Arabidopsis thaliana: one gene and its partner. The protein of the gene in region 2 interacts with the protein of the main gene of each other region in a pairwise test. Each region holds a gene or a part of one and is shown on either strand. Other genes may lie near its edges.

Region 1 (4,479 bases), on a different chromosome or scaffold from region 2:
AAGACTTGATTTCGTTTCCACAAGAAGCATAGAGAATGTTCTCATTACCTGAAAAATCAAATAAAAGTTATCACCAAATTGCAACAAAGAGAAGAAATTGAAAGAGAGAGAAACAGACAAAACACAAAGAGACAAAACCTGTCTTGAAACAAAGAGATGAAACTGGTTCTGTTCCAACATCGATGATGAATTGAACATCTTTACATCGCAAATCAAACCAGCAAATGCAACCATCCTATAATCGTATGATCGGAAAACTATGAATCTTGCGAAGTAACTACAATAACGAAACCTAAATTCATCGGAAAAAAGAGGTTTGAATTAGAGATTAAGAAACCTCGCCGGAAGTGAGAACAATTCCAGGCCGGTCACGAGAAGCTATACAACAAGTGGCAGTTGATTTGTGGCCTCTCAGCTTCCTTGGCTCTTCCATTGCCGTAGCCATAACTGTGAGTGAGAGTTTCTCCGGCGATTGCTCAGTTTCAAGCTCTAAATTGAGCTAAAAAAGGCTAACCGAAACAAACCAAAACTAAACCGGATATTTTGGTAATCCTTCGGTTTTGTACCAAAAAAATCGAAACAACAAAATTCCAACCTAACAGAAATCGATTTTAGTACCACTTAACCAAAATGAACCGATACGGTGAAACGAAATCAAACCGAAAATTATGTTCAACCAAACTGAAATCATCAAAGGCAGAAACTATTTTTATCTTTTCTTTTCAACAATTCTATTGTTTGAGATAAATATAATTTAGGGTTCTGAAAATTTGACATAGCATTTTCAAACAATAACATTGATAGATCAGATAAATAACAGAAATACACCAAATGGGCATTACTCAACCTAAAAGCAATCTTCATATTCGATAGAACCGTTAACAAAAACCGATCCTTAGGTTGTTAACAATAATTCTACTCTCTGATTAGTTCGAGCAGCATCCACCTTTCTTCACAGCTGAAACATCTTTACCGATATCGATCTTGTCTCCTTTCGATGGAACATTAGCGGATTCGCTCGCAGCTTCCATCGCCTTCTTGCTCACAATGTGGTGAATCTGAGTGAGGACTTCGGCGAAAGCGTTCTCAACATTGGTGGCTTCGAGAGCCGAGGTTTCCATGAAGTAGAGAGATTCTTTCTCGGCGAATGACTTAGCATCTTCAGTCTGAACAGCCACGAGATGGCGAAGGTCAGATTTGTTGCCCACGAGCATGACTACAATGTTTGGATCAGTGTGGTTTCTGAGTTCTTTCAGCCAAGTCTCAACGTTTTCAAATGTTGAGTGTCGGGTTACATCGTAGACAAGAAGCGCTCCAACAGCTCCTCGGTAATACGCACTAGTGATGGCTCGGTACCTATTGAAACAAAGTCAACGAAACAGAGAATTAAGTTAACCGAAACATCAGGAACACAAAAAAGGCAAGAAGCTTTACAGTTTCGAATTCAGACTATGCACGCTTTACAAAACTGATCAGAGAAATGGAGAATAGCAAATCATACAAAGCAAGAAGCTTTTCAATTTTGAAATTAAGACCAAGTAAAAGCTTCAAATGAAAGTTTAAGAATCCAACTAAAACCAATCAAGCTCTCTTACATAAATAAACTAAGCAAAAACAACAGAAGAAATCGATAATGATTGAAGAATCTTAGGTGAAATCTGAGAAAGAAGAGCTAAGAATCGTAGAAATGAAGTTACTGAAACCAATCAAGCTCTCTCACATAAACCTAAAATAGCAAAAACAACAGAAGAAATTTGATAAAGCTGATAACTTTATAATCATAATCATAGGATTCTCCTATCTTACACAAAACCCAAGTTGTCAAAATCACATACTAATCCAGATCTCTTCTTATAAAAGTGATCAATACCAATGGATCTAAATCAATTGATACAGATCTAACCTAAGCTGAAAATTTACTGTCTTTGGCAACCAAACAAAACCATAAACCCCAAAACTTCAATCAAAATGTTCTAATATAAGAAACCAGATCGAGAAATGAACAATGTGGTTGAAAAAGATGAGACCTTTCTTGACCAGCAGTATCCCAAATCTGAGCTTTGATGACTTTATCATCAACATTCAAACTCCGAGTCGCGAACTCGACCCCGATCGTGGATTTTGACTCGAGACTAAACTCGTTCTTCGTGAATCGTGAAAGCAAATTGGATTTGCCCACACCTGAATCACCTATCAGAACAACCTTGAATAGGTAATCGTATTCATCATCTGCTCTGTAACCCGCCATTGATTCTCTCCTTCAAAGCTTTTAACTTTACTCCTTCAGATTCGAGAAAACAAAACAAAGAGAGAGATAAAAATGGGTCCTTCTTTTCAAAATGAAAAACCCAAATGAGATTTGAAACTTGTTGCTCTTTTTTCCTTAGATTTTGTTTTGAAAATTTTTTCGATTTCAACAGAGAAAGACGCGGAATTGGAAAATATCAAACGAGAAAGACAAAGGACTTGTGTACTGTCTTTATCACAAAGAAATCTAACATTTGTGTGGCCAAATTTACTAAACTGCCCTGTTAACGCGTTCTGATCTATTACCTTGCTCGCTTCGATAAAGACGAGGACGTATTCGTCAATTCACATTTGTCTTTATCTTTTATGTTTTTCTAAACTGATTAAAATGATAAAAAAGAATGCGTCTGCCGGGAGTCGAACCCGGGTCTATTGCTTGGAAGGCAATTATCCTAACCGTTGGACTACAGACGCTGACGATTAATTCAAACAGATATAATATACTAATCCAGAATAATATGACGTGGCAAGTAAAGTGACTATAAATAAAATCGGGGAGATCTGTTTTCACTTTCTTCTCTCTAACAAACTAAGGCCTTGAATGGTACTAGTTTTTAAAGTTGATTTTGGCTTTTGATTTTACAAAATCCACTTTTTCATCCATTCATGATTTTGTAAAAAGTTAATTTCCTAAATTATAGGGAATTCAAAATTTAAAAGATTCTAGTCATTTGTTCTTAAAATCCAAAATTCACTTTTTTGGGATTTTCAACAAATTCTATCGTAAACTCTTTTTTTTTTGTTTTTAAAAATAAAAATAAAGTTTTAAATAAATAATTTTAAAACGTTTCTAAATAATAATTATATAAAAATCAAAAACTAGAAAAGTTACCATTTAAGATTTTGCAAAATCTAAAATCTCCACCAAAATCAAAAACTCATAAAATCAAAAACAAAAAACCAAAAGCCACAATCCAAAATCCAAAAACCCACCAAAATCAACAAAACATTCATGGCCTAATTTGGCAGTCAAAACAGAATTTGACCTTGAAGACGACTCTTGCAGACTTCTCCGGCGATTCTCCCGCCGTGAAACTCTTATCGGCGGCTATCTTTCTCCGTTTCGTTCCCGACGGTCGAGTTTGTACTGGCATTTACTTTACTTGTTCGAAGCGACTTCCAATTTTCACCTAATCAAACGCGACTCTCAACGGTTCGAGAATGGGTTGTATCGGATCTTCTCAGGCCAGAAATGAAGGCGGAGGTTAGTGGAATCGATACTCTCTTAAACCTTTAATTCCGCACTCCGTTTGTCTCGCTGAATTTGTTCTCAGAATTTGGGCTACGATTTATACTTGTGTTGTAATGTTTTGATTCTTGGTGATAGTTCTAGTTTTGAGGTGTTAACATGAACTAATCTTGCAAATGTTATGATTCTTGGAGTGATTTCGAAGGAAATATCAGTTTATTGTGGTGTTGACATGTTTGTGATTCGTTAAAGATTCCAAATTTTGAAGCTCAGAATTAGTTCAGCAGAGAATTAGAATGCTCTTCAACATTGTTTCTACTGCTCAGAATTAGAATGTTGGATCAGAGAAAGTTGTTATCGATGGTATGATTGAAATGAAATGGCCGTTTACTAATGTTATAACATTCCATTTTTACCAAGAAAAATTGTTCTGTGAACAATAGACAATATAATCTGATTCGTTCTGCCTTATACTGTATTTGTTGTCTTGATGAAATTGAAACTGTGATGATCTTCTGAAGTAGATGGCTATAATATTGGTGTTACTGAAAGAACTGTTTTAAAATTGGTGGTAGTTTATATTGTATCATTCTCTTATGAGTTTTGTACGTTTGACACAGCAAAAAGGAAGAAAATCATGAAACCTAAACCGTGGGCACATACTGAGCCAATCACAAGGGCACAACTTACGAACATGCGTGAGGAATTTTGGGACACCTCTCCACACTATGGTGGTCAAAGAGGTATATATATATCTCTCTTTCTTGTAATCTGCTGCATCGCACTATGTACATTTGGAAACTGAGCGAAATTTACTGAAAACCAGAGATATGGGAAGCACTTCGAGCTGCTGCTGAAGCTGACTTGAAACTAGCACAAACTATTGTTGACAGTGCAGGCGTGATTGTTCAGAACCGTGACCTAACATTGTGCTGGGATGAAAGAGGTTTGTAATACACAATTCTGATTCGTTTCTCTCGTTT
Region 2 (4,038 bases):
GTGGAGTTAGAGAGACGAGGTCCTTCTATTCGAGCAATCTCGGTTCTTGAATTGGGGGAATCAGGTTATGAGGCTGTTGTACAGATATGCTTGAAGAAAGAAAACGAAGATGAGTTCTCCAACTTGCTTCATGTAATGGAGGTGCAAGGTTTGAGTGTTTTAAGTGCTTCTACTTCTCAAGTTTGCCGAGAGCAAAGGGTGGTTTGCTACAACTTCCATGTCAAGGTACTGTGTCTCATCTTATCTTCTTCATTTCTCTTTAGTTTATGTTTTGATAGAATGGAGACAATGTGCTAGTCTTCATGGATATGAACAATGATGTAACTTTTCTTCTCCAAACAATACATGTTTAGGGTCCAAGTCATGGGAGGATTGTGTTTTAACTTTAGCTAAGCATTGAGATTATGTTAAGATTATATAACGTTTAGAAAAGATATAGGACTAATGGTTTATCATTAAGTTCATAAACCAATGGTTTTTGTTCTTAAGATATATTGATTCTATTGGTGGGAGAGAGACTGTTTCGACCTCAATGAACCTGGATTTGAGTGTAGCATTATGTATAAAGAGGGATGATTTACATATATTTGCATGTATTATCAATGGCTGATCCTAGATCTATGGACCAAAAACACTAAACTAAATTCAAAATTAGTTTTTAGCAATTCGATAGTATGGCACTAAAAAGTCATTGGATAGTATTTACATATATACATTGGATGTTCTTTTTTGAGAGAACTAACAATTGCAAAATGTATATGGGAAAGTGTAGATGGATGAGAAGCCATGTGAAGGTGATGACTACATCACAGTGTTAAAGAACAACATCATTTCTTCGCTTCGTGACAACACAAAGTGCAAATGATATATAGTGAGGTATAGAATCAACAGAATATCTTTGATGATGCATATCGCAACTTATAATATTCCTCTTCTTGCTTAGATCATGTTTGGTTTCGTGTTGGGAATCTCATAAATCATATATAGATGTAGAAGTTATGTTTATCTCCCTATGGTAAACCTCTTCTTAGTATGCCTCAAGATCACGATTTACATGCTCTAGTACCCGATCCGAGAGGATTATCTACCAAAGGCCCATAACTTGTAATCCAAATAGAAATTTCTTTGCGAAGCTAAAACTCAAGTTTTCCAAAACAAGTTGTTAGAATGCCGACTAAAGTTTCTTTATATAGGTTTAACAAGAAATGTATAACCTAAAGATTTGATCCCATGGCATAAAAAAAATAATAATTAAAAACATGGAAGCAAAATATATACAACAGATAGACTATGATCTTGCAGTCTAAAGGTGAGACCACTCTTTGATGGACCACAACCTCAACTTTCCGAATCAGCCGGCTTTTGTTTCAGGAGCCAAGAGAAAGACACAACAACCAAATCAAAAATGACAACACGGCTCCAAAAGAATATGGAGTTTGGCAAGGCTTACCTTTGCTATAAATAAGTTGAGCATTGGACTTGAAATAACTTTGTCTAATGAATTCTTACTTGTATTTTATAAGACGAAAACGTAAATCTTGCATTAAGAATTCATACAAATTTTCATAATTGATAAAATTCTTACATTATCGTACTAGAAATCGGAAATGCATTCCACCATTATGCGTGTTAGTACTAATCGGAGTTTTAACTTGTACTAAATTTAACAAATATGACGGAGAGAGTTGAAAGCTTATCACAATGGCATTTACCGTTTTGCCCTTGTCGTTGTAATTTCAACATTTCCAATTTCTTAACGCCTTTACTGACATCGACCCCAAAAAGAAAAAAAAAAAAGAAGAAGAGTCAAACCTGAGAATCTCATCTCTCTCTGAAGTAGAAGAAGAAGAAGACGATGAAGAAGCGAACGATGTCCGCGTGGGGATCGGCGATTTTAATCTTCATAATACTTATGATCGTCACTCCCACAATCCCTCAATCTCAGGCTTACCACAATTTCGCCGATCAACGCTCCTTCCTCGGTATAAAATTCACACTCTTCTCTCATCATCATCATTTTCTTCTTAAATACCCTTTTGAATTTTTAGGGTTTTGATCTTACAAATCCATTTTCTCAGGGATTCCAAATTTTTTAAACGTCATCTCCAACTTCCCTTTCCTCATCATCGGCCTTATTGGTCTTATCCTCTGCTTTTACCCAGAAGATTACTTTAGCTTTAGGTGCGTAATTACATACTTCTTCTTTGTGAAATCCAGATTCAAATTAGTTAAAGTCTCTGTGTATTGAAACAGTTTGCGAGGTGAGAAAATAGGATGGACTTGCTTTTACATCGGTGTAGCTGCTGTTGCTTTTGGATCTTCTTACTATCATCTTCACCCAAACGATGCTACTCTCCTCTGGGATCGTCTTCCCGTACGCTCTTATTCTTTCTCTTCTCTTCTCTGAGATTTTGTTTGCTTTGTTTTGTTTTTGATCACTGGTTTCGATTGCTTTTTGGTTTAGATGACTATTGCTTTCACATCAATCATGGCTATATTTGTAATCGAGAGGATTGATGAGCATAAGGGTACTTACTCCATTGCTCCTTTACTTCTTGCTGGTCTTGTTAGCATTTTGTATTGGAGGTTAGTCAAATCCTTAAACTATCTCTAGTGGTTTTAGCGATACAATGTTGAGATAGAGTAAGCTGACATGAGGCTGTGATTGTAGGTTTTTCGATGACCTTAGGCCATATGCTTTGGTTCAGTTTGTTCCTTGCATTGTGATTCCGTTGATGGCTATTTTATTGCCTCCAATGTATACACATTCCACTTATTGGCTATGGGCTGCAGGTTAGTGCTTATTGTTGTGTTGATACATATTTAGTTTGCTTTGCTCTTGAAGCTTTGTTGTTACTTTCTGGCTCTTATTCTAGATTCAATTGTCTGGAATTGCAGGGTTCTATCTCTTAGCCAAGGTGGAAGAAGCTGCGGATAAGCCTATATATAGCTGGACTCATCATATTATTAGTGGGCATTCTCTGAAGCATCTGTGTGCCGCTATGGTCCCTGTCTTCCTTACCCTCATGCTTGCGAAAAGAACCGTTCAAACTGAGAGGTACATTTTCATCCTCATGTATATGAAACGACCCGACGTGGCAGACCCATATTCTTGTTCTCATTGTTTTACATCATTTTGTTAAAACACAGGATTAGCTTGTATAAGACATGGAAGAAAGGATCCGAGGAAGAACGGTTCGAGCATAGCTACTCCAACGTTGCAGTCGAAGAGACTCGGTAGATTATTTTGTTGACTCGTAAAATGTAAGATGATCTTTTTCTTTTGATAGTTTGTGTGTTTACGGTTACTGGCTAATAGAATTAGATATAGAAGGTACAGATTTATGATCCAGTTGGAAACTAATGTTAGCGATCTGTAATCTTATCAAAATGCTGCACTCTACCATTCATAAATGCCCTTTGTTTCTTATTGAGATTGGTGAGACTCGATGTTCTTCTTATTATCAACTTAAACCAAATCGAAGACAAGTTTGCCTAGTTGATCGTGAAATCATTGGAACACTCTGTTTTACAACACAAGTGTTTTCAGGATATGCCGTTAAGTCTTCTAATAACAGAGACGACGCCTTGAATACCTAACTTGCCATCTCCATTAGCCACCATTCCAGTGAACAACTGCTTGCTCAGAGCAGCACCAGGCATCGCCGCCTCTGCAGCCATTCCCAAATCTTTCACCATATACTCCGCAAAGCCAGTCGCCCTATAATCCCTCTTCACAATCATCTCCCCAAACAGCCGCATAACCGCCGATCCAGCTGCACCATCCTTCACCGCCTCGAGCCATTTCACTGTATCTAAACCCGCTTTCTCAGCGAACACTATCCCTTCAGCAAGTCCAACCAGGTTGCTCGCACCAGCAATCTGATTCCCTATCTTGCAGCTTTGCCCACTCCCTGCTTCTCCCATATAAGTAACAGTCCCTATATTCTTCATCACCGGGGACAACCACTCCACAATCTCTGAATCTCCGCCGGCGAAAATCCCTAACGTCCCCTCTCGTGCTCCAGCGTCTCCACC

The links.
Region 1: the proteins of SAG18 (region 2) and RABA1c interact in a protein complementation assay, tested with the Arabidopsis thaliana proteins (one large-scale study listed by BioGRID).

What each region holds. Positions count from the first base shown.
Region 1 is NC_003076.8:18,557,087-18,561,565, reverse strand, and holds RABA1c (RAB GTPase homolog A1C), read right to left. Parts: upstream 2,507-4,479; 5' UTR 2,249-2,506; coding exon 2,028-2,248; intron 1,357-2,027; coding exon 927-1,356; 3' UTR 621-926; downstream 1-620. Other genes in the region: AT5G45760 (Transducin/WD40 repeat-like superfamily protein), read right to left, coding at 1-48, 139-235, 338-445; AT5G45740 (Ubiquitin domain-containing protein), read left to right, coding at 3,469-3,511, 4,117-4,239, 4,323-4,442. UniProt on the Arabidopsis thaliana protein: Intracellular vesicle trafficking and protein transport.
Region 2 is NC_003070.9:26,832,800-26,836,837, reverse strand, and holds SAG18 (senescence associated gene 18), read left to right. Parts: upstream 1-1,777; 5' UTR 1,778-1,855; coding exon 1,856-1,982; intron 1,983-2,078; coding exon 2,079-2,181; intron 2,182-2,253; coding exon 2,254-2,374; intron 2,375-2,464; coding exon 2,465-2,586; intron 2,587-2,671; coding exon 2,672-2,793; intron 2,794-2,898; coding exon 2,899-3,058; intron 3,059-3,128; exon of another isoform or gene 3,129-3,150; coding exon 3,151-3,241; 3' UTR 3,242-3,432; downstream 3,433-4,038. Other genes in the region: AT1G71200 (basic helix-loop-helix (bHLH) DNA-binding superfamily protein), read left to right, coding at 1-225, 773-865; AT1G71180 (6-phosphogluconate dehydrogenase family protein), read right to left, coding at 3,547-4,038.